Macaca fascicularis: one gene and its partners. The protein of the gene in region 2 purifies or fractionates together with the protein of the main gene of each other region. This does not show direct contact. Links are inferred from orthologs where the notes say so. Each region holds a gene or a part of one and is shown on either strand. Other genes may lie near its edges. The genes, in order: LIMD1, PPP2R1A, TIPRL, CEP43, IER5, CTTNBP2 and ANKLE2.

The links.
Region 1: the proteins of PPP2R1A (region 2) and LIMD1 purify together in Homo sapiens (affinity purification with mass spectrometry; 4 studies listed by BioGRID and IntAct, with this or other methods). This does not show direct contact. The link is inferred for Macaca fascicularis from reciprocal best matches to the Homo sapiens genes PPP2R1A and LIMD1.
Region 3: the proteins of PPP2R1A (region 2) and TIPRL purify together in Homo sapiens (affinity purification with mass spectrometry; 3 studies listed by BioGRID and IntAct, with this or other methods). This does not show direct contact. The link is inferred for Macaca fascicularis from reciprocal best matches to the Homo sapiens genes PPP2R1A and TIPRL.
Region 4: the proteins of PPP2R1A (region 2) and CEP43 purify together in Homo sapiens (affinity purification with mass spectrometry; 5 studies listed by BioGRID and IntAct, with this or other methods). This does not show direct contact. The link is inferred for Macaca fascicularis from reciprocal best matches to the Homo sapiens genes PPP2R1A and CEP43.
Region 5: the proteins of PPP2R1A (region 2) and IER5 purify together in Homo sapiens (affinity purification with mass spectrometry; 3 studies listed by BioGRID and IntAct, with this or other methods). This does not show direct contact. The link is inferred for Macaca fascicularis from reciprocal best matches to the Homo sapiens genes PPP2R1A and IER5.
Region 6: the proteins of PPP2R1A (region 2) and CTTNBP2 purify together in Homo sapiens (affinity purification with mass spectrometry; 3 studies listed by BioGRID and IntAct, with this or other methods). This does not show direct contact. The link is inferred for Macaca fascicularis from reciprocal best matches to the Homo sapiens genes PPP2R1A and CTTNBP2.
Region 7: the proteins of PPP2R1A (region 2) and ANKLE2 purify together in Homo sapiens (affinity purification with mass spectrometry; 7 studies listed by BioGRID and IntAct, with this or other methods). This does not show direct contact. The link is inferred for Macaca fascicularis from reciprocal best matches to the Homo sapiens genes PPP2R1A and ANKLE2.

The regions. Positions count from the first base shown.
Region 1 is NC_088376.1:108,578,012-108,581,511, reverse strand, and holds part of LIMD1 (LIM domain-containing protein 1), read right to left. Parts: intron 3,147-3,500; coding exon 3,016-3,146; intron 2,377-3,015; coding exon 2,325-2,376; intron 1,495-2,324; coding exon 1,426-1,494; intron 1-1,425. UniProt on the Homo sapiens protein: Adapter or scaffold protein which participates in the assembly of numerous protein complexes and is involved in several cellular processes such as cell fate determination, cytoskeletal organization, repression of gene transcription, cell-cell adhesion, cell differentiation, proliferation and migration.
Region 2 is NC_088393.1:59,992,718-59,996,217, forward strand, and holds the end of PPP2R1A (serine/threonine-protein phosphatase 2A 65 kDa regulatory subunit A alpha isoform), read left to right. Parts: intron 1-2,470; coding exon 2,471-2,562; intron 2,563-2,730; coding exon 2,731-2,747; 3' UTR 2,748-3,185; downstream 3,186-3,500. UniProt on the Homo sapiens protein: The PR65 subunit of protein phosphatase 2A serves as a scaffolding molecule to coordinate the assembly of the catalytic subunit and a variable regulatory B subunit.
Region 3 is NC_088375.1:25,846,214-25,849,713, reverse strand, and holds part of TIPRL (TIP41-like protein), read right to left. Parts: intron 1,138-3,500; coding exon 958-1,137; intron 254-957; coding exon 154-253; intron 1-153. UniProt on the Homo sapiens protein: May be a allosteric regulator of serine/threonine-protein phosphatase 2A (PP2A). Isoform 1 inhibits catalytic activity of the PP2A(D) core complex in vitro. The PP2A(C):TIPRL complex does not show phosphatase activity.
Region 4 is NC_088378.1:4,055,244-4,058,743, reverse strand, and holds part of CEP43 (centrosomal protein 43), read left to right. Parts: intron 1-125; coding exon 126-238; intron 239-1,876; coding exon 1,877-1,945; intron 1,946-3,199; exon of another isoform or gene 3,200-3,325; intron 3,326-3,500. UniProt on the Homo sapiens protein: Required for anchoring microtubules to the centrosomes. Required for ciliation.
Region 5 is NC_088375.1:38,576,677-38,580,641, forward strand, and holds IER5 (immediate early response gene 5 protein), read left to right. Parts: upstream 1-1,323; 5' UTR 1,324-1,529; coding exon 1,530-2,513; 3' UTR 2,514-3,465; downstream 3,466-3,965. UniProt on the Homo sapiens protein: Plays a role as a transcription factor. Mediates positive transcriptional regulation of several chaperone genes during the heat shock response in a HSF1-dependent manner. Mediates negative transcriptional regulation of CDC25B expression.
Region 6 is NC_088377.1:159,231,777-159,235,276, reverse strand, and holds part of CTTNBP2 (cortactin-binding protein 2), read left to right. Parts: intron 1-410; coding exon 411-2,064; intron 2,065-3,500. UniProt on the Homo sapiens protein: Regulates the dendritic spine distribution of CTTN/cortactin in hippocampal neurons, and thus controls dendritic spinogenesis and dendritic spine maintenance.
Region 7 is NC_088385.1:139,880,680-139,884,729, reverse strand, and holds the start of ANKLE2 (ankyrin repeat and LEM domain-containing protein 2), read left to right. Parts: upstream 1-1,250; 5' UTR 1,251-1,284; coding exon 1,285-1,465; intron 1,466-4,050. UniProt on the Homo sapiens protein: Involved in mitotic nuclear envelope reassembly by promoting dephosphorylation of BAF/BANF1 during mitotic exit.

The DNA of each region.
Region 1 (3,500 bases), on a different chromosome or scaffold from region 2:
GACGTGATCCTAGCTTCCTAAGTAGCTGAGACTATAGGCACAGCATGCCTGGCTAATTTTTGTATTTTTAGTAGAGACGGGGTCTCACTGTGTTGCCCATGCTGTTCTCAAACTCCTGGGCTCAAGTGATCCCCCTGTCTTGGTCTTCCAAAGTGCTAAGATTACAGGCACGGGCCCATGCCTGGCTGGATATTTTGAACTGAATAAAATAATTAATCTCACCTGTTTCTTTTAACTTTTTAATTGTGGCTACCAGAAAACTTAAAATGATACCATGACTTTAATTTGTTGCTCTCATATTTCCTTCTTTTTTTGAGATGGAGTCTCACTCTGTTGCCCAGGCTGGAGTACAGTAGCACAATCTCAGGTCACTGCAACCTCCACCTCTCAGGTTCAAGCAATTCTCCTGTCTCAGCTTCCCGAGTAGCTGGGACTACAGGTGTGTGCCACCATGTCCACTAATTTTTGCATTTTTAGTAGAGATGGGATTTTGCCATGTTGGCCAGGCTGGTCTTGAACTCCTGACCTCAAGTGATCTGCCAGCCTTGGCCTCCCAAAGTGCTGGGATTGCAGGCGTGAGCCATCGCGCCCGACCCCTTATGTTTCTTTTGGATAGCACTGGTCTAGAAAATGTGGAGAGGCCTGTTGAGCAAATGTCCTCACCTTTTTCTCCTGCAGTGACCTGGGGCACCTGGGGTCCCGCAGCAATGATTCCCACCCATTTCTTCAGTGTTGGCAGTGGGACAAGTCTACATGAGGGACACCCCTGTTCTCTACTCACAAGGTCACCAAATGAATCTAATCTCCTTCCATGGGTGAATTCACTTAATTGTGGCTGAAATTTCATGGTCACCCTTCACAGGGGCTGGTGAGGGGCGATCCCTAGCTTTCCTAACAGTCATCAGGTACTAGTGCTGCTTCATCCTGGGACACAGGGCAGGAAGGGGCAAGCGGACCCCACCTGCCTTCACACCACCAGCTGACATGCCTGTTTCCAGGAGGGGTTTCCTGATTTCCAGGGCTTGGCTGAGAAACAGGCTTCTGGAAGACAGAACAGCCTACAAGCTGGAGGGGAGGGTGTCCCTTCCCCACATCGCACACCTGCCTGACAATGTGGCCCCCAGACAGCACCTGAAACCCATGCTCTCCACCACCCTCCTAGCTCTGCAGCTTCAGGGATAGTAGGTCTGACAGTTGCAGGCCTTGATAGTTCTGAATGTGCAAAAGAAAGAGCTTTATACCTCGAGCATTTCCATCTTCTCCTACCTCCCCCAAGAACTAGCCTTCACTCCATTTCCTACAGAAGTTCTAGAGGGCTGAACCTTGCCAGAATCTTGTTGACCGCCTCTTGCCCCAGTCAACGCAGGATGCTCTTCTCTTGGATGTCTACAATGGGCTCTGGGGGCCGGGTGGGGAGGGGCCTACCTCGCAGTGGTAACACTCCACGTGGTAGTCTCTGTCCATGGACACGACACGGATGGTCTCATCTGAGCCCTGGGACCAAAGAAAAGCAAGAACACGCCCGAGAGACCTGTTAGGGGCCTGTTGGGTTTGATGTACCACAGGGTGGGGAGGGAAGAGGGTGTTGGGGTAACAAGTAGGTGGCCTTGGGAGGAGAAGGTAAACAGGAGTACTTGTTGGAAAAAGAATACATTTAAGCTGATGAGAGGGAAAGTGGGAGGGACAGGAGCCCTTCCTTCTGGAATGCTGGAGTCAACACTGAAAGAAAGACCTACATGGACACTTATTTTAAAAAATGAATAAAAGACAAGTCTTTCTGCTCATCTGCTAATCTAAGAATTAGTCATCAGGTAAGGGAGTTTGACCTGATCCTGGGGACAAACCAGCACAAGAAGGGTACTGGGGCGGGGAAGCCCGTCAACAAGGAGGGGTGAGGACGTGACTTCTCTCAAAGGTGAGTTTTTTTTTTTTTTTTTTGGAGACAAGGTCTTGCTCTGTCACCCGCTGGAATGCAGTAGCACCATCATAGCTCACTGCAGTCTCAAACTCTTAGGCTCAAGCAGCTAGGACTACAGGCACATGCCACCACGCTTGGCTAATTTTTAACAATTTTCTGTAGAGATGAGGTCTTGCTATGTTGCCCAGGCTGTTCTTAAACTCTAGGCCTCAAGCAATTTTCCTGCCTGCCTAGGCCTCCTAAAGTGGTGGGATTACAGGCGTGAGCCACTGCACCAGGCCAGAGTTGAGATTTTTAAAAGGATACCTTAAAAGATGTAAGGACAGGACATGGATCTTGTAAATGAGCCCAGGGAGATATTCATGTTTTAGAAGCCCCTGGGAGCATGTCTGGAAAGGCATCTTACCTCAGGTGGAAGGATGGGAAGCCCACAGGCTGCACACTTGGGGGCCAGCACCCTGCGGGGAGAAACAAAGCAGCAGTAAATGCACACTGTGTTGTTTCTGGGAGCAAAGCCCAGAGTCAGACTTGCACTTGGAATCCACATGGAGCCTTCCTCCATGCTGCCTCCTGCCCTTTGCTCTCCTCCCTCATAGAATGTCTGGAACCTGGCTCACTTTGTGGAATATGCCTTAGTATCTGTTCCCCAGCTGCAATGAGGACACTGGCTGCCTCTCACTCTTCTGGGGACAGCACTAACCTATTTGTTTACACCCCTCATGGTGCCTAGCACAGGCCCAGGCAAACCAAGACTGGTGGGAACCAGCACTGCATAGGGGCCTTGTGAAGTTAGGTAACGCTGAAGCCACAGGGCTTGGTGGATTCCTCCCGAGGCCTAGCCAGGAATACGATTATTAGTTTTTTGTGCTCTGTTTTTGTTTTTCTCACTAAACATGATTCTTTAACCCATTCCTGTCAACACTGGCATTGACCAACCTCCCAAGATCCCTACTGCACCCCTCAAAACCATTAAGCCTTTGCTGGACTGTGATCTAAGGGCAGCTGGCAAACACAGTTCTGTTGGTTTCCACCGCTCACTCTGCTGAGATCAGCTTGGCCTACACGAATGGGTCCCGTCTGCTCCCGTCCCTTCTTACTTGTGGTAATCTCGGACACAGTAGATCTTGTTCTCCGAGTCCACGGTGAAGGGCACCCCATCCAAACACTCATTACAGACGACACAGCGGAAACAGCCGGGGTGGTAGGACTTCCCCAGGGCTTGCAGGATCTGGAGGAGAGGCCAAGACTCAGTGGGGATTATAGGGAAGGATGGAATGGTGGAAGGGCAGAGAAATACATCAGTCCTAAGGATTACATGAGTGGTCACACACGGAGTACACTTACCCCCGAGTTTCACCTAGGAGAAGAGCAAGAGGTGATGGGGTGGGAAAGGCAAATCTGTTTAGATGAATACACAGAAGAGACCACCTAAGAATCTTTTTCCTGCAGCCTCTCACAGGGTCTCTGAGCTGGGAGGGAAAGAGGGCTCCTTTCCAACCCTCACCCAGAGCAGGAAACTCTTGCACAGTTCTTTAATAGAAAGAGATGCTAAGGGAGGGATGGGCCAATCCCAGGGCCAAAA
Region 2 (3,500 bases):
GCCTCGCCTCAATGCATAAACAAATTAATTTGAGATGACAGACCAGAACCAGAAAGATTTAAAAAATAAAACATCTAGAAGAAAATGTAGGAAAATATCTTCATGAGTTAGCGTAGGCACAGCAAACCAGAGGAATTGATGGGTAAGTTGACCTTCTGTAAAATGTAGCACTATTTCTCAAAAGACAGCATTTTGAGAGTAAAATGCAAGCCCTTGACTGGAGGAAGATGTCTGCAATGTATGTTTCTGAGAAAGGACTCATCCACAATACCTGTCTACAAACCAGGCAGGGCAAGAAAGAGATGGGAAAAAAGACTTGAATCGGCACTTGAAAAAGGATCTCCACATAGCTTGTAAGCATATGACAAGGTGTTCAGCATCATCAGCCTTCAGGAAAGTGCAAATTAAAGCTCAGTGACATATCACTACACACCTCCCAGAACAGCCAATATTAAAAAAGACTCAATGGTGCAAATGTTGAAGACATAGAGCTGGAACTCTCATCCGTTGCACGTGAGGCTGTGTATTTAGGGTTTGATCACTCTGAAAACGGGAGTGGAACTGGAGTGGAATTTGGTGAAGCTTGTTATACAAACACCCTGTGAAACAGCCCTTCCACTCCTGGGTCTCTATCCAGGAGAAATGAGTGCTGTTTCTGTCCGAAGAATGTTCATGGTAGCTTTATTCATAGTAGCCATAAAAACAGAAAAAACCTCCATGTCTGCCCACAGTAGAGCAGATAAATTTTAGTTCATTCATACAGTGGAAAACTATTCAGCAGTGAAAAATCAAATGCCTGCTGTAGGCGGCAACACAGGTGGCTCTCACAGATACCATGTTGAGTGAGGAGCCAAACCCAAGAAAACACACCATTTATGTCAAGTTCAGAAACAGGCAGAATGAAAGAATCGAGATGATGGAAGTAAGAATAGTGGTTATTTGGGGAGAACAGGGAGCTGTCAAGTGAAAGTGGGGGACCCACAAAGCCTGCACTTTTGATTTCTGTCTGAATCTGTTCCAGGACACAACCTCAGCTTTAGTTTCTCTCCGAAGTCCTCCTCCATTTCCCAAAACAATTGACTCGGTGCAGGCGGAGTTCCCTGGGCCCCATAGATGAGAGTGGTTGCCTCCTCTGGGCTCCTGGAGGACCAGAAACTTTCCCTTGGGACCACTTACCACTCCCTTCTTACGTAGCAGTTTGGTCTCTGTCTTGCTCCTGGCCCGGATGCCTCATGGCAAGAAAAAGTGATTTAGCTCCGTATTCATTCCATATACATTGTAGGCCTCAGTGAATATGTGTGAAATCAATGAAAGATACCCATTTGTTGGGCCTCAGAGACTTGGGAGTTCTGTGATTCTGTTCTACTTTCCCAGCCTGCTCTGATCTCCCTGTTTGGGGCCCCAGAGAAGTCTGTTGTTGTTTGTCATACTTCTGACTTTTAAAGTAATTGGTTGGTTGGTTGGTTGGTTTTTTTGCAGTTTGTTTGGTTTTCCTTTGAGACAGAATCTCACTCTGTCGCCCAGGCTGGAGTGCAGTGGTGCAATCTCGGCTCACTGCAACGTCTGCCTCCTGGGTTCAGGCAGTTTTTGTGTCTCAGCCTCTTAAGTTGCTGGGATTACAGGTGTGCACCACCATGCTTGGCTAATTTTTGTACTTTCAGTAGAGACGGGGGTTTTGCCATGTTGTCTAGGCTGGTCTTGAACTCCTGGCCTCAAGTGGTCTGCCCACCTTGGCCTCCCAAAGTGCTAGGATTGCAGGCATGAGCCACCGCACCTGGCCTTGATTTTACTTTTTTTTTTTTTTGAGACGGAGTTTCACTCTTGTTGCCCAGGTTGGAATGCAATGACGCAATCTTGGCTCACCACAACCTCCACCTCCCAGGTTCCAGCGATTCTCCTGCCTCAGTCTCCCAAGTAGCTAGGATCACAGGCGTGCACCACCACACCCTACTAATTTTGTATTTTTAGTAGAGACAGGGTTTTTCCATGTTGGCCAGGCTGGTCTCAAACTCCCGACCTCAGATGATCCACCCACCTTGGGCTCCCAAAGTGCTGGGATTACAGATGTGAGCCACCATGCCAGGCCTGATTTTACTTTTAATATACACATAATTATACATATTTATGGGGGTATAGTAGTGTTTTGATAATGTGTGCAAATGTGTAATGATCAAATTAGGATGATTAGCATATCTATCACCTTAAATGTTTACCGTTTCTTTGTAATGAGAACATTCAAAATCTTCTCTTATAGCTGTTTTGAAATATGCAAAATATTATTGTTAACTATGGTCACCTTCCTGTGCATTGAGCGGAGATTTCTCATTCCTGTGTATGTCCTGGATTCTTGAGACTCCTCTCACCTTGGGTTTGGTGTATCCATGTCTGTGTATACCCTCTTGCTCAAGAGCCCTGTGCCCACCTGTTGCCCCAGTACGCTCCCTTTCTCTGTCTCCTTTTCGCTTTCCAGCACCCTGCAGAGTGAAGTCAAGCCCATCCTAGAGAAGCTGACCCAGGACCAGGATGTGGACGTCAAATACTTTGCCCAGGAGGCTCTGACTGGTAAGACCTAGAAAGCAGGGAGCCCTAGCAGGAGGGTGGACTTTTGAGGACAGGTGCTAGGCTGTCCTTTGAGAACAAGGTCGCAGCTTCTGGGAGGGGGAGGTACCATGGCATTGTGGGCAGAGAGAGGGCTGTGGTTCTGATTCTTGCCTGTTCCTGTTTTCCTAGTTCTGTCTCTCGCCTGATGCTGGAAGAGGAGCAAACACTGGCCTCTAGTGTCCACCTCCAACCCCCACAAGTCCCTCTTTGGAGAGACACTGGGGGGCCTTTGGCTGTCACTCCCTGTGCATGGTCTGACCCCAGGCCCCTTCCCCCAGCACGGTTCCTCCTCTCCCCAGCCTGGGAAGATGTCTCACTGTCCACTTCCCAGTGGGCTGGGGGAGCACGGGGTTGGACAGGACAGCGACCCTGGGAGGAAGGGGCTACTCCGCCCACGTCGGGGAGAGATGTGAGCATCCCGGGTCACTGGATCCTGCTGCTGTAATGGGAACCCCTCCCCCATTTACTTCACCTCCCATCCTTCCCCTCATTGGTTTTTTTTTTGTGTGTCAACTGTGCCATTTTTATTTTATTCCTTTTATTTTCCCCCTTTTCACAGAGAAATAAAGGTCTAGAAGTAGTCAGTCCTCTGGCCTTAGTCATCAGCATGGAGGAGGGGACACCACCCCAGAGTCATAACATCTGCCCTTTTCTCTGGAGAAGATCTTGTTACAGGACCCATTATACCCCTATGTCCCGAGAGAATTCTCTGGGGATCCCCCGAGGAGTGCTGCTGGCCTGTGGAGCAGAGGGTCCACGAGGTGCTCTGGCTGCTGTCCTGTAGTGCAGTTCAGTTTCATAGATGTTGGCCGAGTATTTTGGGGGTTAAGAGCAGGTGCCTTGGAACCAGACTACCTGGGTCCAAATTTTGGCTCCTTCAGTTAATAGACGTGTGACTA
Region 3 (3,500 bases), on a different chromosome or scaffold from region 2:
GCAAAACCCCCTCACATTACGTTCTGAGGGATGCCACAACAGAAAACAAGGACAATAAAAGTAGTTGCGAAAAATAACCCGTTACTAGAAAGTTCTAATGCTCAGACTGTCCAAGACAATTAATGACTCATAAAAGAAAAAAGTAAGATTTACCTTTAACTTAAGAGATTCTCCAAGTAAGGTTCCCTTATAATCTGTTGTATAGGTCCAATCGTATGGTTTAATAACCTCTTTGGAGTGTTCACCCTCCGTCCTCAAATACCAAAATGAGAAGGATCAGATTCAGTGATGCAGAATAGAGATTATCTGTATTTATATATCACATCCAATTATATTCTACAATAACATAAAATATCCTATTAAATATATACACTTGTTATAATTCACCAGTACAAGGTTTTTCTTACAGTTTTTCTACATTTATCGTTCTTTAACTTGTCATGTACTGATGTAGTCTTTTCAATTAGTCTGTACACTGCCTGAGGACACGGTTTAAAGGTTTATACTTCTTTGTATCATCTAAGGTACTTAGTACATATTAGGCACAAAGTAAATAATTGCTGATTTGACTATCAAAGAAAAACATGCTGTCTTAATTTCAATGCTTCTCAAATAGGATATTTATTAAGCATATCATAAGTAAACATTTTTCTTGAAAAACAGGAACATTAAATATAGCCTACTGCCTCTTCAATAAGGAATGCTGAAGAATTGAAAAAGTACATAGCTCAGCTCAGTTGTAATTCACTTTAATAAGAATTCAAGTAGTGGGGTAATTAACTTCCATTTTTATGTCTCAGAAAAATGAATTCTAGAATGATACAACTCTCATGTTTAATAATACCAGTTCTTCATTCTAACGACACACACGTATCATTACTGAATATTTTTTCAAGTCTTTCTCTTTTGTTTAACCTAATTATATTTTTTGTTTAACCTAATTGACCAGATTCTCACCTGCTTTCTTGCCACTCTTCAGCACAGGCCACTTTAAGCATTCCTTGGTAGTTGTTTACACATCTTAATGCATCTGTAGCATTGAACTCAATTCCAAAGCCAGAGCCATGCTGGATTCTTAAAACGTTGTCTCCAAACATCATTTCAGGGAGAGATGGCATATGTAATTCATCGGCTAATCTATACATAACCAAAAGTCATGTGAGATAATTTTATATCGCTGTTGGCATTTTTGTTTCTTTTCCAACCCAGAGAATTCTTCCTACATTGCTGAATGAGTTACACAGCGTATGATTTAATCAATATGATATATTTGCAAGGTCTACAAAATGCTTTCATCATCCATTCTTTCGTTATCATATCTTATGGCACTGTACTAGGTAGTGGGCTAAATAAGATAATATACAAACACAGATATAATAGCTTATTATATTACTATAATATATAGCACACAGATATTACTATAATATATATCATGAAGGTATGAAGAGAAGATAGCAAAGCAAATAAAGATACTGTCCCTTGTAGGAAAATAATTTTTCCACTAAAATTTTCAATTGTTGTAAGTTTCAAAAAGTGGTGATGAAAAAAGCAAAAGCACCTGATACTGATGAGGGAACCCAGCACTTGCCTATACAGACTTTCAGAAGGATTGTGTCAATTTACATTTCACCCTGGTGCAACAATCAAGCAAAAAATAACAGGAATTTAATAAAATCTACACACTTTGACCCAAAGTATCAGTTTTAGGATATCTGTACTAAAGAACAATTCCAAGTACAGAAAAAAACTATACACATTAATACTTACAATGGCTTTACTTATAATCGTGAAAAAGAAATACTCTGAATGTTTCATTATAAAGCAATAAATGATTATGGAAACCAAAGTATATCCATATGATGAAATATTACGGAACCATTACAAATGTTTAAAGAGAGAATATAATAATATGGAAAAATGCTTATGATAAAATAGTATGATCAAAATGCGTATGATAAACAAGACCTATGGCCACGCAAGGCAAGGATTAAGTCATGCCCGACAAACCATAAAATCTCATTAAATGGTTTTTTATGTGCAATGGTATAATGTGCCTTACTTTCCAACCTGACTGGTATAGCATCACAAGACAGACAGTAGGCCCCCTTTTCTTAAGCATTCCTTTCTACTGACTTCAAGTCTTTAAACAAAGCTTAACACTGTTTTTTGTTTGTTTGTTTTTGAGACAAGGTCTTACTCTGTCACCCCAGGTTGGAGTGCAGTGGCAAGATCTCGGCTCACTGCAACCTCCGCCTCCCAGGTTCAAGTGATTCTCTTGCCTCAGCCTCCCTCGTAGCTGGGATTACAGGCATCTGCCACCATGCTCAGCTAAGTTTTGTATTTTTAGTAGAGACTATTTTGGATAATCTTGAACTCCTGACCTCAGGTGATCCGCCCGCCACAGCCTCCCAAAGTGCTGTATACACATTGTATATTTTTTACATCTATATGTGTATTTCTGTGTGCACATATCAGTGATCTAACTTTTTGAGGTACAGGTCTTCAGGATGATACCTAACAATGTTACCTTTCATCATAATTTTAAGTAAAATTTATTCTTTGTTATTAGGAGATAGAAAATATTAAATACTTAAAAGATTAGATACAATAAACTGTAATTGGAATATATATTACATAAGATTCCATAAAATAAGTTTTAACTTGAATAATGCATACCAAATGTGAAATAATACGTGAGTCTGTGGGTTCTACCCAATACATCTGGAAAAATCTGGCAGTCCTATAAAATATTCCACTCATATATGTAAAAGAATCACTGTTACTAATTTACAGTCCTTCAATGTTCTAAATATAGAGTTTCTTAAACACAGGCCAAAATGCCCTATTTCTTTTTTCTTTTTTTTTGAGATGGAGTCTTGCTCTTTTGCCCAGGCTGGAGTGCAATGGCATGATCTCGGCTCACTGCAACCTCTGCCTCCCAGATTCAAGTAATCCTCCTGTCTCAGTCCCTCTAGTAGCTGGGATTACAGGCACGTGTCACCACGCCCGGCTAATTTTTGTATTTTTAGTAGAGACAGGGTTTCATCATGTTGGCCAGACTGGTCTCAAACTCCTGACCTCAGGTGATCCACCTGCCTTGGCCTCCCAAAATGTTGGGATTACAGGCGTGAGCCACAGTGCCAGGACTGAAAATGCCCTATTTCTAACATCAAGTTTCCCTCTTAAAAACAGGTATAACCAGTTATAAGGAGAGAAGACAGGAAGCTCCTCTGGTTTTAAGGTGCCTTAAATATTCATTAAAGGGAGTTTCTTTAATCCAATAATTTACCCAATCAATTTATTTAGCACCTTAGCGGTTTTTACAATCTATGGTAATGCATCACAGAAAAATTTAGGATTGGTGAGGGTAAGTCTTCCTTTTGTCATATAAAAAAGGCAGCTTTTTTTTTTTTTTCAGTGGAGGGGACAGAGTCTCACTCTATCATCCAAGCTGGAGTGCAGTGGCATGATCTCAGCTCACTGCAACATCCACTTCCCAA
Region 4 (3,500 bases), on a different chromosome or scaffold from region 2:
ATTCTTGATTTCCAGCCACTGTGCATATAAAGTATCTTTTAAGTTGCTTTTGTTTCAGTGGCAGGATAAAAGTGTTTAGTGGCAGAACATAAGAGCACCGATTAACTGTCCTTGTTTCTTGCTAGGAGGAGTGAACCTAGGAAGCAACCAGGAAGCCTGGCCTCGCTCTCGGATGCACCCCCCTTAAAAAGTGGACTCAGCTCCCTGGCGGGGGCCCCTTCCTTAAAAGACTCTGAGAGTAAGTGCCCAAAGATGTGGGCTTGAATACTCGGGATATTTTTTCTCTAATTAAGCACTATATGATTATTGTTGATTTTTTTTTTCCAGGAAAATCACTAAAATAACCTATAATTTTATCACTCAGAAATCTTTCCTGTTAATATTTTGTTACTTCTTATGTGGTCATATTTTATATGTTGTTTTGTATTCTGCCCCTTCCTATACCTACATACCATCGGAATACTTTTTAGTTGATTTTTTAGCTGATTTGTATTATCTATAGAAATATAATTTTTAAATCATCTCTCCTTTTTTGGACATTTACAGTGACTTGAGTCGGATTTGCTTTCAATTAATTTTAAAAAATTTGTTTAGTGATACCACAGTAAGTATCATAAAATGTTAAATAAAAAATTATTCTGCAGATCATTTTCAAGAATGACCTGACATGTCATCGTAAATGCAGCAGAGCTAAAGAGCACTGATTACATGTGGAATAGTCTAGCTCTGGCACTAGTTACTTTCCCACCTCTCCCCACACAGTGATAGGAATTTAAACAGCATAGCCCTGAACAGGTAGGATGGGCAGAGGTCCTTTGGAAACCATATAATAGTAAATGTTGTATTTAATTAGCGTAGTGTTTCAGAGCTTCGTGTACCTCTTTTGGAAAGTTTCCAAAAGTAGATTCACTAGGAATTTGCAGTATGAGTTTTGCATAATTGTCCAGTACTTCCGAATCTTTTTGTATTGCTTGATATACTGTGGGACTTCCTAGGGCACATAAGAGAGCCGACCTCTTTCTTCTCTTAAACCAGCCATGTATTTATAAGGTTCGTATCCCTTCCCATTTGCTTCTTTGGTTACTGCCACCTTTAAGAAAGGAATCCAGGACATCATGAACGTGTCATTCTGACACTGATTAGAGAATGATCATTTAGAGAGGACGTTGAGAACGAAGGACCAAAAACCAGTGAGGATTGTCACTTTAGTAAATGAAATAGCAGTTGCATTGAAGAAAAATTTAGAAGTTCAAAGGAAAAATAAGATTCATGAAAATAATTAACAGTAGTCTATGAATTCATACCTAACAGGGCTGTTTATGGAAAGTGATGTCTTATAATTAGGCAAAAATATTTTTTGGTGGTTGTGTTCCAATAAAGTAGTATTGTTTATGGTTTAAAAAGGGTTGTAGCCGGGCGCAGTGGCTCATGCCTTTAAACCTAGCACTTTGGGACGCCAAGGCGGGTGGATCACAAGGTCAGGAGTTTGAAACCAGCCTATCTAACATAGGGAAACCCTGTCTCTACTAAAAATACAAAAATTAGTCGGGTGTGGTAGCACGTGCCTGTAGTCCCAGCTACTTAGGAGGCTGAGGCGGGAGAATCGCTTGAACCTGGGAGGCGGAGGTTGCAGTGAGCCAAGGCTGCGCCATTGCACTCCAGCTTGAGTGACAGAGTGAGACTCCGTCTCAAAAAAAGGGTTGTAATGCATAGTTTAAGCATTCATTAATCACAGTTTATTTTTTCCTTAGTTTTAGGTTATTATGCTCCTGTCATAAAGAAGCCCCCATATTGAACAACAACAAAAATTGATGTGGTTTAGAGACTGTTGTATTCTAAAAGTCACTCTAATGCTAGTATTTTTTCCTGTTCACAGGTAAAAGGGGAAATACGGTTTTGAAAGATCTGAAATTGATCAGTGATAAAATTGGATCACTTGGATTAGGTAACTAGATTTCCAGTTTTTGTGTTGATCGTTTTAAAGTGATTATTTTTAGGGTAAGGTTGTAAAAGAAGTGACTCAGTCTGCCTACGCTGAACACCTTCCTGCCGCTGCTCATTCAGCAGGTGTTTGAATGGCTTTTACGTGTTCAGGATTACACCCTATACGAGAGATGGCTACAGCAACAGCCATCATGTCCTCATGAACCTCTGTCTTCATGGAGTTTGAATTCTGGTCAGGAATATGGACATTAAACGGGCATCTACAGATAATTTTGAGTGTAAAAGGGTCAGTATATATTTGTATGGAAATGGCTAGTAGGTTACCTTTGTCCAGTCTTGGCATTCAGGGAAGACCTTTTATAAGAAGTGACTTCTGTGCAGAAGCTTCATGGTTAAGTAGATGTATAAGAGAGAAGGGAAGATATTTCAGTTCAGATAGAAAAATTTGTGCAGAGGCAGAGCCATTTGCTAGATGCTGGTAGTACATGGTCCAGGCCTCAGAGAATTCAGTCTAATGGGGAAACAGACTTATTGAAAGAAAAATTGTGAGATGTGTTCAGTTCTGTTCTATGGAGCAGAAGTTGGTAAGCCTGCCATGTAAGTACGTTCATTCCTATGGAAGTAAGAGTGTCAGTGTGAACATTACCGAGCCCTGCACCATATGCTGAGAGCACAGTTCTCATTGAGTGTTCTGTTGTGTACAAGACTGTAGCAGGGTGACAGGCATACTTTAGGCAGACTCATTTATGTAAAGGCAAACTTGCTGACCTGAAGGAATCGGTGCAGCCAGCTTCTCGATGGCCACTTCCTATGCTCTCTGTGGATGTGATGGCATCGCTTCCTGGTCTGTAATCACTCACACATGGAAGCATTGGAAGACAGCTGCACAGGCAGGTTGGGGAGAAAGACAGCTGTGTCCCGTGTGCTTTTAAAACCCAGCCCTGTCCGAGGGGCAGCTCCGAGAACGCCCTTCCCTCTTCTGGAGAGACATTTTGGATAGTGCAAAGAACTTGGGCTTGGAGTTGGATGGAAGTGACATCTCAGATGTGGCACTGATTGATGGGTAGCGTAGGGAGATAAACTAAACTGCTACTTCCTCATCTGTTAAGTGGAACTAGTAACATCTGCCTTGTTTTAAAGAATAAATAGGATTTAAATATCTCTTCATACGTAAATTAAAGTACAGTGCCTGGCATGGTAGGTGCCTAGTAAATGTTAGTTTTCTTTTTATGTTACTTTGTTCCCCCATTTGCAGAAGAATAAATGTTCCCTGAGCCGCCTGGATTCTTGTTCACACAGTGCCCTGGAGTCCTGGTAACTGAGTTGCTGGTTGTGCTGCCCTCTGCTCTTTGTGCGTCCTGGTTGCTGGCTGGCCAGCTAGGTGGGCCTGCCCCCTTTCCCTCCCTTGTGCTTTTCCTGTCAGCTGTGGTTGTGGTTGCCATTAGATGTTCTTTTCCACTCGACCTCAATGGCTAACTGCCACTGGAGACTTTACTCCTGACTTCTGCACTGTGATGGCTGCCCTGTCCCCTTTGTGTTCTGTTTTTTTTCACTTT
Region 5 (3,965 bases), on a different chromosome or scaffold from region 2:
AATAAATTCATTGCTTGGCCAATCCCTGGGGCAGGATCAGGCCCAGGGTTCCACATGGACTCCAAGAAAGCAGTGCTTAGTTTTCTCATTCAGTTTGTGGCTGAGAAGTTGTCATTTATCGTCTGTACAATAAAGCAGATGTGTATGTGACTTCCCCTTTTCAGCGGTGGAGACACTGAAGCGGTCTGAGGTTATTTACCCAGAGTCCTCAGGCAGGTCTGTGGTGGAGCTTCGGTGGAACTAACTGGAAGTGACTCCATGTTTCCAGTCCAGGACCCTGGGCAACCCTGTGGTAATTGTGCCCTGATATAAGGACCAGTAGATGGACTACATTGTTGACTGACCAGAAAATTCTGGAACTCCCTAGCGCTGTATTTTTACCTTGACACAAAATGAAATTATGACATCATCATGGGAACACAGGACTTCTTTCTTTTTATTTTCAGACCTTGCTCGATTTTTCCAAGGGTTGACTGATCAGTCCTTGTAATGGAAAAATGGAAATGGGAAAAAAATCATTGTGGAGAACCTGTAACATCTTCCATTTAACCTATTTGATAACTGGCTTTGTTCCAGAATCTAGAGAACAAAGTGAAAGATGCCGGCTTTAGAGGGCAACCAGTAACTTTGTATCTAGACACAATTCCTTGATAAGAAGCCAAGAACCTAGCCAAAAACTTTTAGAATCCCCTTTTTCTTTGGTGTTAGAACTGACAGCTGCTAAGAGTGTATGTGACTCTAGCGGGGAAAGCGGCTCATCCAAAAATAATGACAGCCAAATACTTTGCAGTAATACTATTTGTTATCCAGGGGTGTCCTCCGCCGCGTATAGCCACCATCTCTATTTTTGCCAGGGTTGAGGGGAATCGCTTACAGGTGTGGCGGGCCTGGAAATGGTGGCGTGGCCGGTTAGGGCGGAGTTGATCAGGAAAAGATCAGGACTTTATGGCAGAACAGAGTCCAACACCGTGCTCGGAAGAAAGTTCGAATATTTTGTTCGCTTTGGTTCCGGCAAGCCATCGCACAAGCCAGAATCTGTAACTCCAAACAGTAGCGCCCTCGAGCACGGTCCCGAGCACGGTCCCCAGCACGGTCCCCAACACTCACTCCCCATCGGCCTGGTCTCCGCCCGCAATCCGTCGCCCCCTTTAAGAGCTTGCTCCGCGGGACTAACGTTCGAACGGGCCTTGGCGCCCCTCCTCGGGCTCCGATTGGCCGTGCGCGGCGCACGAGGGCGCGCCGGCCAGCCCCGGAACGGTTGGCGGCCCTTCGTGATTGGCGGTCGAGGAGTCTATATAAGGCGCGGGGCGGCCGGGCTGCCCTGTTTAGCTACCGGACCCGAAACGGGGTAGTTGTCTGGTGTAGAGAGGTCTGCGGGGCAGTGAGCGCGCGTCACCGGAGTCATTTCTCTTCGGAGTCTTAGGTGATCAAGGGTGTGCCCACGGGGCGGACTTGTTTGCGCCTCCCGTTCCCTCCCAGTTTCCGAACGTAACACCCCGGCGCCGACGGCCCTGTGCAGGGGAGGCAGGATGGAGTTCAAGCTGGAGGCTCACCGAATCGTCAGCATCTCCCTGGGCAAGATCTACAACTCGCGGGTCCAGCGCGGCGGCATCAAGCTGCATAAGAACCTCCTGGTCTCGCTGGTGCTGCGCAGCGCCCGCCAGGTCTACCTGAGCGACCCGTGCCCCGGCCTCTACCTGGCCGGTCCCGCTGGGCTCCCGGCGCCGCCACCGCAGCAGCAGCCTGGGGAGCCGGCGGCCGGGCCACCCGCCGGCTGGGGAGAGCCGCCCCCGCCCGTCGCCCGTGCCTCTTGGCCGGAGACCGAGCCGCAACCGGAGCGCCCTTCCGTCTCACACGCGCCGCGGGTAGGGGACGAGGTGCCAGTGACCACGGTGACCGGAGTCGGGGACGTTCTTCAGGGCGGAGAGGCGGACGCGACGGAAGCTGCCTGGAGCCGCGTGGAGCGGCCGCGCCAGGCGGCGGCCGGAGAAGCCGAGGGTCCCGCCGGAGGCTGGGGCGTCTTCCCCGAGGGATCGCTTGCCGCGCGCCGCCCCTGCGGCTGCCCCCTAGGCGGGGAGGACCCGCCGGGTACACCGGCCGCGACCCCCCGCACTGCCTGCTGCTGCGCGCCGCGACCAGCCGAGGACGAGCCCCCCGCGCCGCCCGCAGTGTGCCCCAGGAAGCGCGGCGCGGCGGGGGTGGGCGGCGGCCCAGCGGGCTGCCCGGCGCCCGGCTCGACCCCGCTCAAGAAGCCCCGCCGGAACTTAGAGCAGCCGCCGAGTGGAGGAGAGGACGACGACGCGGAGGAGATGGAGACCGGGAACGTGGCTAACCTCATCAGCATCTTCGGTTCCAGTTTCTCGGGACTCCTACGGAAAAGCCCCGGGGGCGGCAGGGAGGAAGAGGAGGGAGAGGAGAGCGGCCCGGAAGCCGCCGAGCCCGGGCAGATCTGCTGCGATAAGCCGGTGCTGAGAGACATGAACCCCTGGAGCACAGCCATCGTGGCCTTCTGAGCCCTTGGCCCCCATGCGGGGAGGAGGTTGAGCAGCGGGCGTCCTCGAAGTGAGGGTCGGGCCCTTGCCGGCTGCGAGGACGCCCAGAGACCGCGGCCGCTGAGCGCGTTGGGCAGACTGGTTGCCGCTGGGCATCGCAAACTGCCCCCGGGCGCATCTGGCTTTTCTGGAGACCTGGGAGCTTGAGGCTCATTGGAAGAGGACGATCTTTAACTTTTTGTGTTTGTGTATGTCTGTGTATGTAAGTTTGTCTTGTGGCATTAAGACTATTTTGTTCTGGAATGCACCACTCCTTCCCCAGGGCTTAAGAGATTGGGGGCAGACAGGGACTTTCCTCTGCCGGCTGCGTGGAGAAGGAAGCGGCTAAAAGGTTTGGGCCGGGGAGTTCCCCATTCGTTCTCCGGGGAGGGAGGGACTTTACACCCACCCCTCACCGGAAAGCTAGACCCGCTTCAGGGCCAGGAGTGGCGTTTCCGCACAGGATTTCCTAAGACGAGAGGGATTTAGCCAGCAGCACAGACTTGGATTCCTTCTGTCCCTCCCCACCTTTCTCTCCCAATGAAGAAACGTTTATATCCTGTGATTACTCTAGGAAAGGGGCATATTAACCGTCCTTTGCTTCCCCGCAGGGGAGAAAAAGCTTGAACTTCACAGAAGAGTTCAAGCTTGGAAATAATGGAGTTTATAGAGAAAAGATATATTTTTAAAAGCTCTAGGTCAGAACTACTACACAGTGCTTTTAAAAAGTGTTTAATGAAAGTTTACAGACAGAAGCCCGAAGTGGAAAGACCTTATGGTTTTGTAGATATGGTGACTCCAGTCTTTGTTATATAAAGGTTGGGGGAGCTGATAAGGTTTTTGTACAGTATTTTCTCCTTCGTTGTATTGATTTTTGTATAAAAATGTAACTTCTACGTGTCTAACACGTATTAAATATTTTGAAGCAACGTAACTGCCTGCTTGTCTGCAATAACCTGCCTGGGTTGGGAGGGAAGTGGGAAGAGGGAAACCAGGGCCTGGGCTAGAAAATTGAAGGTGTGGTTCTTAATATCAGTCATTCGCAGACTGAGAACATTGTTTACTGACTCCACTAAGTATCAAGAGAGACACGTTTAATTTTTCCTCCTAGATCAGAGGAATGCTATTAGATACTAATATCAGCGACCTGCCAGGTTCTTGAAACCTACCGCTACAACTGGCTTTTCTAAGGTCGGTTTAGACCAATTTGTCACCCAATATGTGGGTGTATATTATTAAGTAATTTAACCATCAGCTTTTGAAGCCCTGCTTATCTGCAAAAATGTTTTTCAGCAAAACTTTGTTTCCTGTTAAGCTGTTAATATGGGTCATCTTTTAGCTTTGTAATTGAAAAAAAAAGTTTAGATAGTTTACCTTAAAAACCCATTCGAACTGACATAGGAAGATGAAAGAGACTGACTTGTCCAAATTGTC
Region 6 (3,500 bases), on a different chromosome or scaffold from region 2:
CTTTTCATGATACTTTACCTCAGAGATTAATTATTTTAAAGCATTAAACCTTTTTTAAAAATATCACCAGTTCCATCACAGAGCTGTGTTTTTACAAAAATAGATCTTTCTGATCCCTGTGATTTAAAGCATCTGGTTATTGTTCTGTTTTTCTGTAGTTAACTTCAGTAGACTTTAAAAATTCTCTGTTGTTGTAATTTAGATGTTTTTATAAAGCCATTTACATCTATTTTCTCATTTTAATGGGCCTTTAAAATATTTCTTATCACAACACTTTTTGAAAATGTGGCGTTTTTGCTAACCCGAATATGTCATTGTTAGAAAATTAATAAAAATCTCACAAAAAGCATTTCCTTGGTGAAAAGAAAATTCTGTATATTAATCAGGATTTTCCTGTGAATTTCTTTCAGCTGGAAATGGAGAAGCTTCAGCTACAAGCCCTTGAGCAAGAGCACAAGAAGCTGGCCGCCCGCCTCGAGGAAGAGCGCGGCAAGAACAAGCAGGTGGTCCTGATGCTGGTCAAAGAGTGCAAGCAGCTCTCCGGCAAGGTCATAGAGGAGGCCCAGAAGCTCGAAGACATAATGGCCAAACTGGAAGAGGAAAAGAAAAAGACAAATGAATTAGAAGAAGAACTCTCTGCTGAGAAACGAAGAAGCACAGAAATGGAAGCTCAGATGGAAAAACAGCTCTCTGAGTTTGACACCGAGCGGGAACAGCTTCGTGCCAAGCTGAACCGGGAAGAAGCACACACAACTGACCTCAAAGAGGAGATAGACAAGATGAAGAAAATGATTGAGCAACTGAAAAGGGGAAGTGACAGTAAACCAAGCCTCTCTCTTCCACGGAAGACAAAAGATAGGCGTTTGGTTTCCATATCTGTGGGAACAGAAGGAACTGTGACAAGGTCTGTTGCATGCCAGACAGACCTAGTGACAGAAAGTGCTGACCATGTGAAAAAGTTGCCTTTAACCATGCCTGTAAAACCTTCCACAGGGAGCCCCCTAGTTTCTGCAAATGCAAAAGGGAGCGTGTGCACTAGTGCCACAATGGCCAGACCAGGTATTGACAGGCAGGCTTCCCACGGTGACTTGATTGGCTCTTCTGTACCCGCTTTCCCACCTCCAAGTGCAAACAGAATTGAGGAAAATGGACCAAGCACTGACTCAACACCAGATCCAACCAGTAGCACACCCCCACTTCCCAGTAATGCTGCCCCTCCCACCACTCAGACACCAGGCATAGCTCCTCAGAACTCCCAGGCTCCACCTATGCACAGTTTACATTCACCATGTGCCAACGCCTCTTTGCATCCAGGTCTAAACCCACGAATCCAAGCAGCTAGATTTAGATTTCAGGGCAATGCTAACGACCCAGACCAAAATGGAAATACTACCCAAAGTCCTCCGTCAAGAGATATGTCACCTACAAGTCGTGACAACCTAGTGGCCAAACAACTAGCTCGGAATACTGTGACCCAAGCACTGTCAAGATTTACAAGCCCTCAAGCAGGTGCTCCCTCAAGGCCTGGAGCGCCCCCAACAGGGGATGTTGGCACTCACCCTCCAGTCGGTCGGACCAGTTTAAAGACTCACGGTGTTGCACGAGTTGACAGAGGAAATCCTCCTCCTATCCCTCCAAAAAAGCCAGGGCTCTCCCAAACTCCTTCTCCACCACACCCCCAACTCAAGGTTATTATAGACAGCAGCAGGGCCTCGAACACAGGGGCCAAAGTTGATAACAAAACTGTGGCTTCGCCTCCTTCCAGTTTGCCACAAGGGAACAGGGTGACCAATGAGGACAACCTTCCTAAGTCATCCTCCCCTCAGCTGCCACCAAAACCATCCATAGATTTAACTGTGGCACCTGCAGGCTGTACCGTTTCAGCCCTGGCCACATCTCAGGTGGGTGCCTGGCCTGCTGCAACCCCCGGACTGAACCAACCTGCATGTTCAGACAGTTCCCTTGTCATTCCTACCACCATTGCCTTTTGCTCTTCCATAAACCCCGTTAGTGCCTCATCCTGTAGACCAGGTGCCTCAGACAGCCTCCTGGTAACAGCATCAGGTAAAGGGATCGAACTGTTATACCCTTTTTAAAGAATATGGCCTCTCTTCTCACTTGCCTTGATTTTCTTCACATTGCCTTGAAACTTTTTTTTAAATTTTATGCTTCCCCCACCCCCACCCATTTCTTTTCTCTCTCTCTCTCTCTTTTTTTTGTTTTTTGTTTTTTGTTTTTTGATTTTTGTTTGTTTGTTTTTAAAAGCTCCAGGGTATGGTGATTCATCTTGCTATATGAATTGCGGTTTCACTATGCTAAGTGCTTTCTTCTTTTAAAATAACCTGAAAGTAGTGGCTTAAAGCACATGGAGACCATTAATTTAGAGAGACTAAAGTATTTACATGGGAGAAAAGAGTATTCCTTCTTATTAAATATTTATCTCGCAAGACCTCAGTGGGTCATCATCAGACAGTACATGTTTAATTCTGTTCCTTCTGAGATGATATTTTTAAAGGCCTTTCAAGTAATTATTAACACTATATTGGATTACCAAATTGACTAGATTTGTTCTGTAATTGGTATATTTTAAGTTCTAATATCAGTTTGGTGTTTAGAGGTTTTTTTTGTTGTTTTCTTTTTTACCCTCAGAAATGGAGTGTGAATATTTATAAATCTGTTCTAAGTTTATTTCTAAAAGCTATGTACCCTATTTAGTGCTGCCGTCTTCCAGCACTTGGGCACAGATGGTTAACATAGCATGTGGGCTATGTTACAGAAGGTTTCCATTGCAGGTGTGGCTTATGAAGTCACTGAATCTGGGACTCTTGAACAAAGAAAAGGTGGATTTTTCCTTTTTGTTATACAGTGCTAGAGAAAGCATTGCTTTTTATTGACATGACTGGATTAGTTCTTTACTAAGCAAATGTGGCTCTAAAGTAATGTTACCAAAAACACATAATTATAAATAACAAGAGACTAGATTCCAACACCCATCTGACTAACTGCAAAGTCCATGCTGTTTCCAGTTCCCAATTTTACCCCTCAAAATGTGGAAGACAAAGTTCTGTTGAAGCTTTGGAGAAGTCTCTCCTACCATGGGATCTCAGTGGTTGGTGGAGATTGTTGGTTCTAACGGGAGGAAACTTTTATAATTACAGGAAGGTTTGAATAGTTGTTATATTGAGTACTTTGAAGGGAGAGAGAGAAAAGCAAATAGCATCATATTTGCTAATTATCAGGTGATGGCAGCAGTACTTTAGGATTTATTTGTCCAACTATAAGCTATCAACTTGAAATTAAGGTCTTTGAGAGGCTTTATCCATATTTTGAGGGGCAAAATAGGGAATTGGAAGCAGCATGGACTTTGAAGTTAGATCTATGTTGAAATCTAGTCTCTGCCATTTACAGTTGTGCATTTTTGGTGACTTCTTATGCTACTCATATGGGGGAGGGTGGCTGTTAGGAGGAGCAGATCCTCTAATCTGTCAGCATAGTATTGA
Region 7 (4,050 bases), on a different chromosome or scaffold from region 2:
CTATGTCGGTCAGGCTGGCATGCAGTGGCTATTCACAGGCGAGATCACGCTCACTGCAGCCTCGAACTCCCGAACTGAAACTACCCTCGCCCCTCACCCTCCAGAGTTGCTAGAACTACAGACCTGAGCCACCTCGCTCAGATCAATTATGTTTTTAACCAAGGATATCAATTGTATTTTTCAGGTCTTTCATTTTCATTTCATAATATCTAAAGTAGGCTGGGTGCGGTGGCTCACGCCTGTAATCCCAGCACTTTGGGAGGCCAATCACTTGACGTCAGGAGTTCGAGACCAGCCTGGCCAACATGATGAAACCCCCGTCTCTACTAAACATGCAAAAATTAGCCGGGTGGGGTGGCGGGCGCCTGTAATCCCAGCTACTTGGGAGGAAAGGCAGGAGAATCGCTTGAGCACAGGAGACGGAGGCTGCAGTGAGCAGAGATCGTGCCATTACACTCTAGCCTGGGTGACAGAGCAAGACTCCGCATCAAAAAAAAAAAAAAAAAAAAAAATCTAAATTGTATACAGGAAAATCCTCCTCCCTTTTTCGGGACAGGGTCTCCCAATTAGGTTGGTGCAAAAGTAACTGAGGCTTTTACCATGACTTTCAAAATATTTGCCCAGGCTTGTCTCGAACTCCTGGGCCGAGGGGATCCTCCCGCCTCGCCTCCCAAGGCGCTGGGACTCCGGACGCAGCCGCCGCGCCCGGCAAAATCCAAGCTTTCTACTGCGCGTCAGGGTCGCTTGGTGAAGAAGCGGGAAGCTCCGGGGGCCTCCCCAGCGCCGGCCGCCCGTTCTGCGGGTTCGCAGGAAAGTGAGAAGCGCCTCCTCACTCCAGCTCCAGGACGGGGCGGCGGCCGCAAACGGTCCTGGGGCCCGGAGCTCACGAACCCGGCGGAGCCCGCTTAGTTCTCGAAGAGGCGCAGCGCCCCGCGGAGGCCAGGCCCGGGAGGCAGTAAACAAGCCCCGCCCCGGCCCCCGCCCACACATTACCCTCTCCGCGCCGCGCAGTTCCCAGGACCCCGCGCCGGGCTGCCCGCGCCCCGCCTGCCGCGCCCGCCCGTCCGCTCGCCCGTCCCCGCCCGCTTGGGGTGCAGGGCCGGGGCCACCGCGGCGCCCTCGCCGGACCTTCGTGAGCGGGGCCGCCGCCCGTGTCCCCCGCGCCACCCCGGCCGCCTCTAGCGTGGCGCCGTCAGGCAGGGCGCGGGCAGCCCGGCGCGGGGTCCTGGAGCGGGCGCGGCGCAGGGTGCGGGCTCCTAGGCGGCTGCGGCCCGGGCTGCGGCGATGCTGTGGCCGCGGCTGGCGGCGGCCGAGTGGGCGGCGCTGGCTTGGGAGCTGCTGGGCGCCTCGGTGCTGCTGATCGCTGTGCGGTGGCTGGTGCGGCGGCTGGGCCCGCGGCCTGGGGGTCTGGGCCGCAGTGGGACCCCAGGCCCTCCGCCGCCCGCGGCCGCCGCCCCCGCCCCAGGTAAGGCCCAGGCGGTCGCTGGGCCCCTGCATCCCGGTCCCTTCCCCGCCCCGACGCCCTCCCCGGGACCCCGTCCTGGGCCGCGCCCCTCGAGCTCCCGGTGCCGGCAGCAGTTGGGCGAGGCCGCCGGGAGAAAGGCCATTCTTTTCTCCCAGGGCCGCTCGAGAAAGGCCATTCCGGCCGCGGAAAGGGCAGTTGCGGGGAACGCGGCTTCCCGGGGCGGGGGCGGCAGGGGCCACGCCGGGTTCGGGGATGAGAGCTTTCTGGGCTCGGGAGCGGCCTCCGGGGAAGGCGGCGGGAGCCCGGCGAGGCGTTAGCGGAGAACCTTGCTGCGGTCGATGGAGACCTGGGGAGGGATGGCCCAAGGGGGGGCGGCGCGGGTAGGAAGCCCTGGGTCCCGGATGTGTTTGGAATGTGAAACCCCTGCGGTTACTGGTCATTGAACAGGAGGCAGAGACGGAAAAGGCCTATGTGACTTAGGGGTTTGGGGCGGGAGGAAACGGGAGAAGGTGTCCATTTATTGCTTTGGGGTAGACTGTCGGGTCTGGGTGATGTGGAGAGCGGAGGTGGGTTTGGGTCATTTTAAGTTTGAGGTAACTGATACTGTGAACTGTGTGTTTCACCTCCATCCGCTTTTCATGGCATACAACTCCTGAAATCCCGGGGACCTCCAATGTGATGTCTTTTGTAGGCTGAGTGGACTGGTGGCCGGCAGCCCTTAGGGAGCTTCTGGATGGGACTGGTCGCAGGAAAGACCAAGGCTGAGTTAGAGGTTCTGGGGACTTTCAGCCCCACCCGCAACCTCCGGGGAGGGGAGAGGGCTGAAGGTTGAGCTGATCACCAATGCCTGTGAAATGAAGTTTCTGTAAAAACCCAAAAGGGCTGGGTTGAGGGAGTTTCCGGATAGTACGTGGGGATTCCTGGAGGCGGTGCCCAGAGAGGCCTTGAATTTCCAAGCCTTTCCCCCCGGTTTTACCTCACGCATCTCTTCACCTGTATTCTTTGTAATCTTTATCCTATGCTGGTAAATGTAAGTAAAACATGTCTGTGAGTTCGGGAGCCGCTCTAGCAAATTAACACAACCTGAGGAGGTTACCCGGTTACACCCAGTCGGTCCGAAGCGCAGGTCAAACAACCTGGGCACTGGAAGTGGGGGACAGTCTTGTGGGGCTGAGCCCTTAACCTGTGGGGTCTGCTGGTATGTCCAGGAAGATGCTGTCAGAATAGATGACTGAGTTAGGATGGAACTGCACAGACGACACCCAGCCTGTGTCCACTGCAGAACTGATGACCTGCGTGATTCGTGGCGAGAAAACCCCCACATATCTGGCGTCTGAAGCATGTTGCGAGAGTCTAGTGGGAGAAACTGAGTTTGTTTTTACTCTAAATTGTCAGACTGTTAGTCACTGAGAAGCGGTGCTTTCTAATGATTGAGTGGGGATTCCTGTCGGATTGTGTGAGTTTGTGTCCTGGCCCTACCCACTTTCTTTTTTTTTTTTTTTTGAAATGAAGTCTTGCTCTGTCGCCCAGGCTGGAGTGCAGTGGCAGGATCTCGGCTCACTGGAAGCTCCGCCTCCCTGGTTCAAGCGATTTTCCTGCCTCAGCCTCCGGAGTAGCTGGGATTAAACGTGAATGCCAACAAGCCCGGCTAATTTTTCTATTTTTGTTGCTGCTGTTGTTTGTTTTTTGAGACGGAGTCTCGCTCTGTCGCCCAGGCTGGAGTACAGTGGCGGGATCTGGGCTCACTGCAACCTCCGTCTCCCGGGTTCACACCATTCTCCTGCCTCAGCCTCCCGAGTAGCTGGGATTACAGGTGTGAGCCATCGCGCCCGGCCCTACCACTTACTGCTGTGGGCTTAACCTGTCTTCAGCCTGCTCATTTAGGAATAGGGATTATAGTAGTACCTAGTTAAGATTTTTTGGGAGTTGGGTAAGTGCAGCACTTGGTATGTGTTAAGCACCTCTGAGTGCTCTGTTACCGTCACCACCAGCATCATCCAAGCAGAGCTGTGGACAAGGTGGCTGGAGGTGGTGTTTTGAGAGGGGCTGAAATAAAAAAATACTGATATTACCACAAGTCAACAGAGATTTAGAGAAACTGGGTCTCGTGCATTGCGAGTGGGGATGGTAAGTGGTGCAGCTACTCTGGGAATCAGCCTGGAAGGTTTTTAGGAAGTTAAATCTGCTCTGCATTCCTGAGCTTTTATTAGAGAAATGAAAACGATTTTCACACAAAAACCCGTATTTGATGTTCATAGCAACTTTATTTGTAATTGCCAGAAACTGAAATAACTCAAATGTCCCTCTAGAGGTGGATGGTTAAACTTAAACATTGATACCCCAGGGTGCCACTCCGCAGCAGTCCACTCTGCCACGTAGGTGGATCTCAAGGGCATTATGCTGACTAGGAAAAGCCAATCTCAAAAGTTGCATACTCGGCTGGGTGCCGTGTCTCACGCCTGTAATCCCAGCACTTTGGGAGGCCGAGGCAGGTGGAACACGAGGTCAGGAGTTCAAGATCAGCCTGGCCAATGTGGTGAGGCAGTCTCTACTAAAAATACAAAAAATTAGCTGGGCGTGGTGGC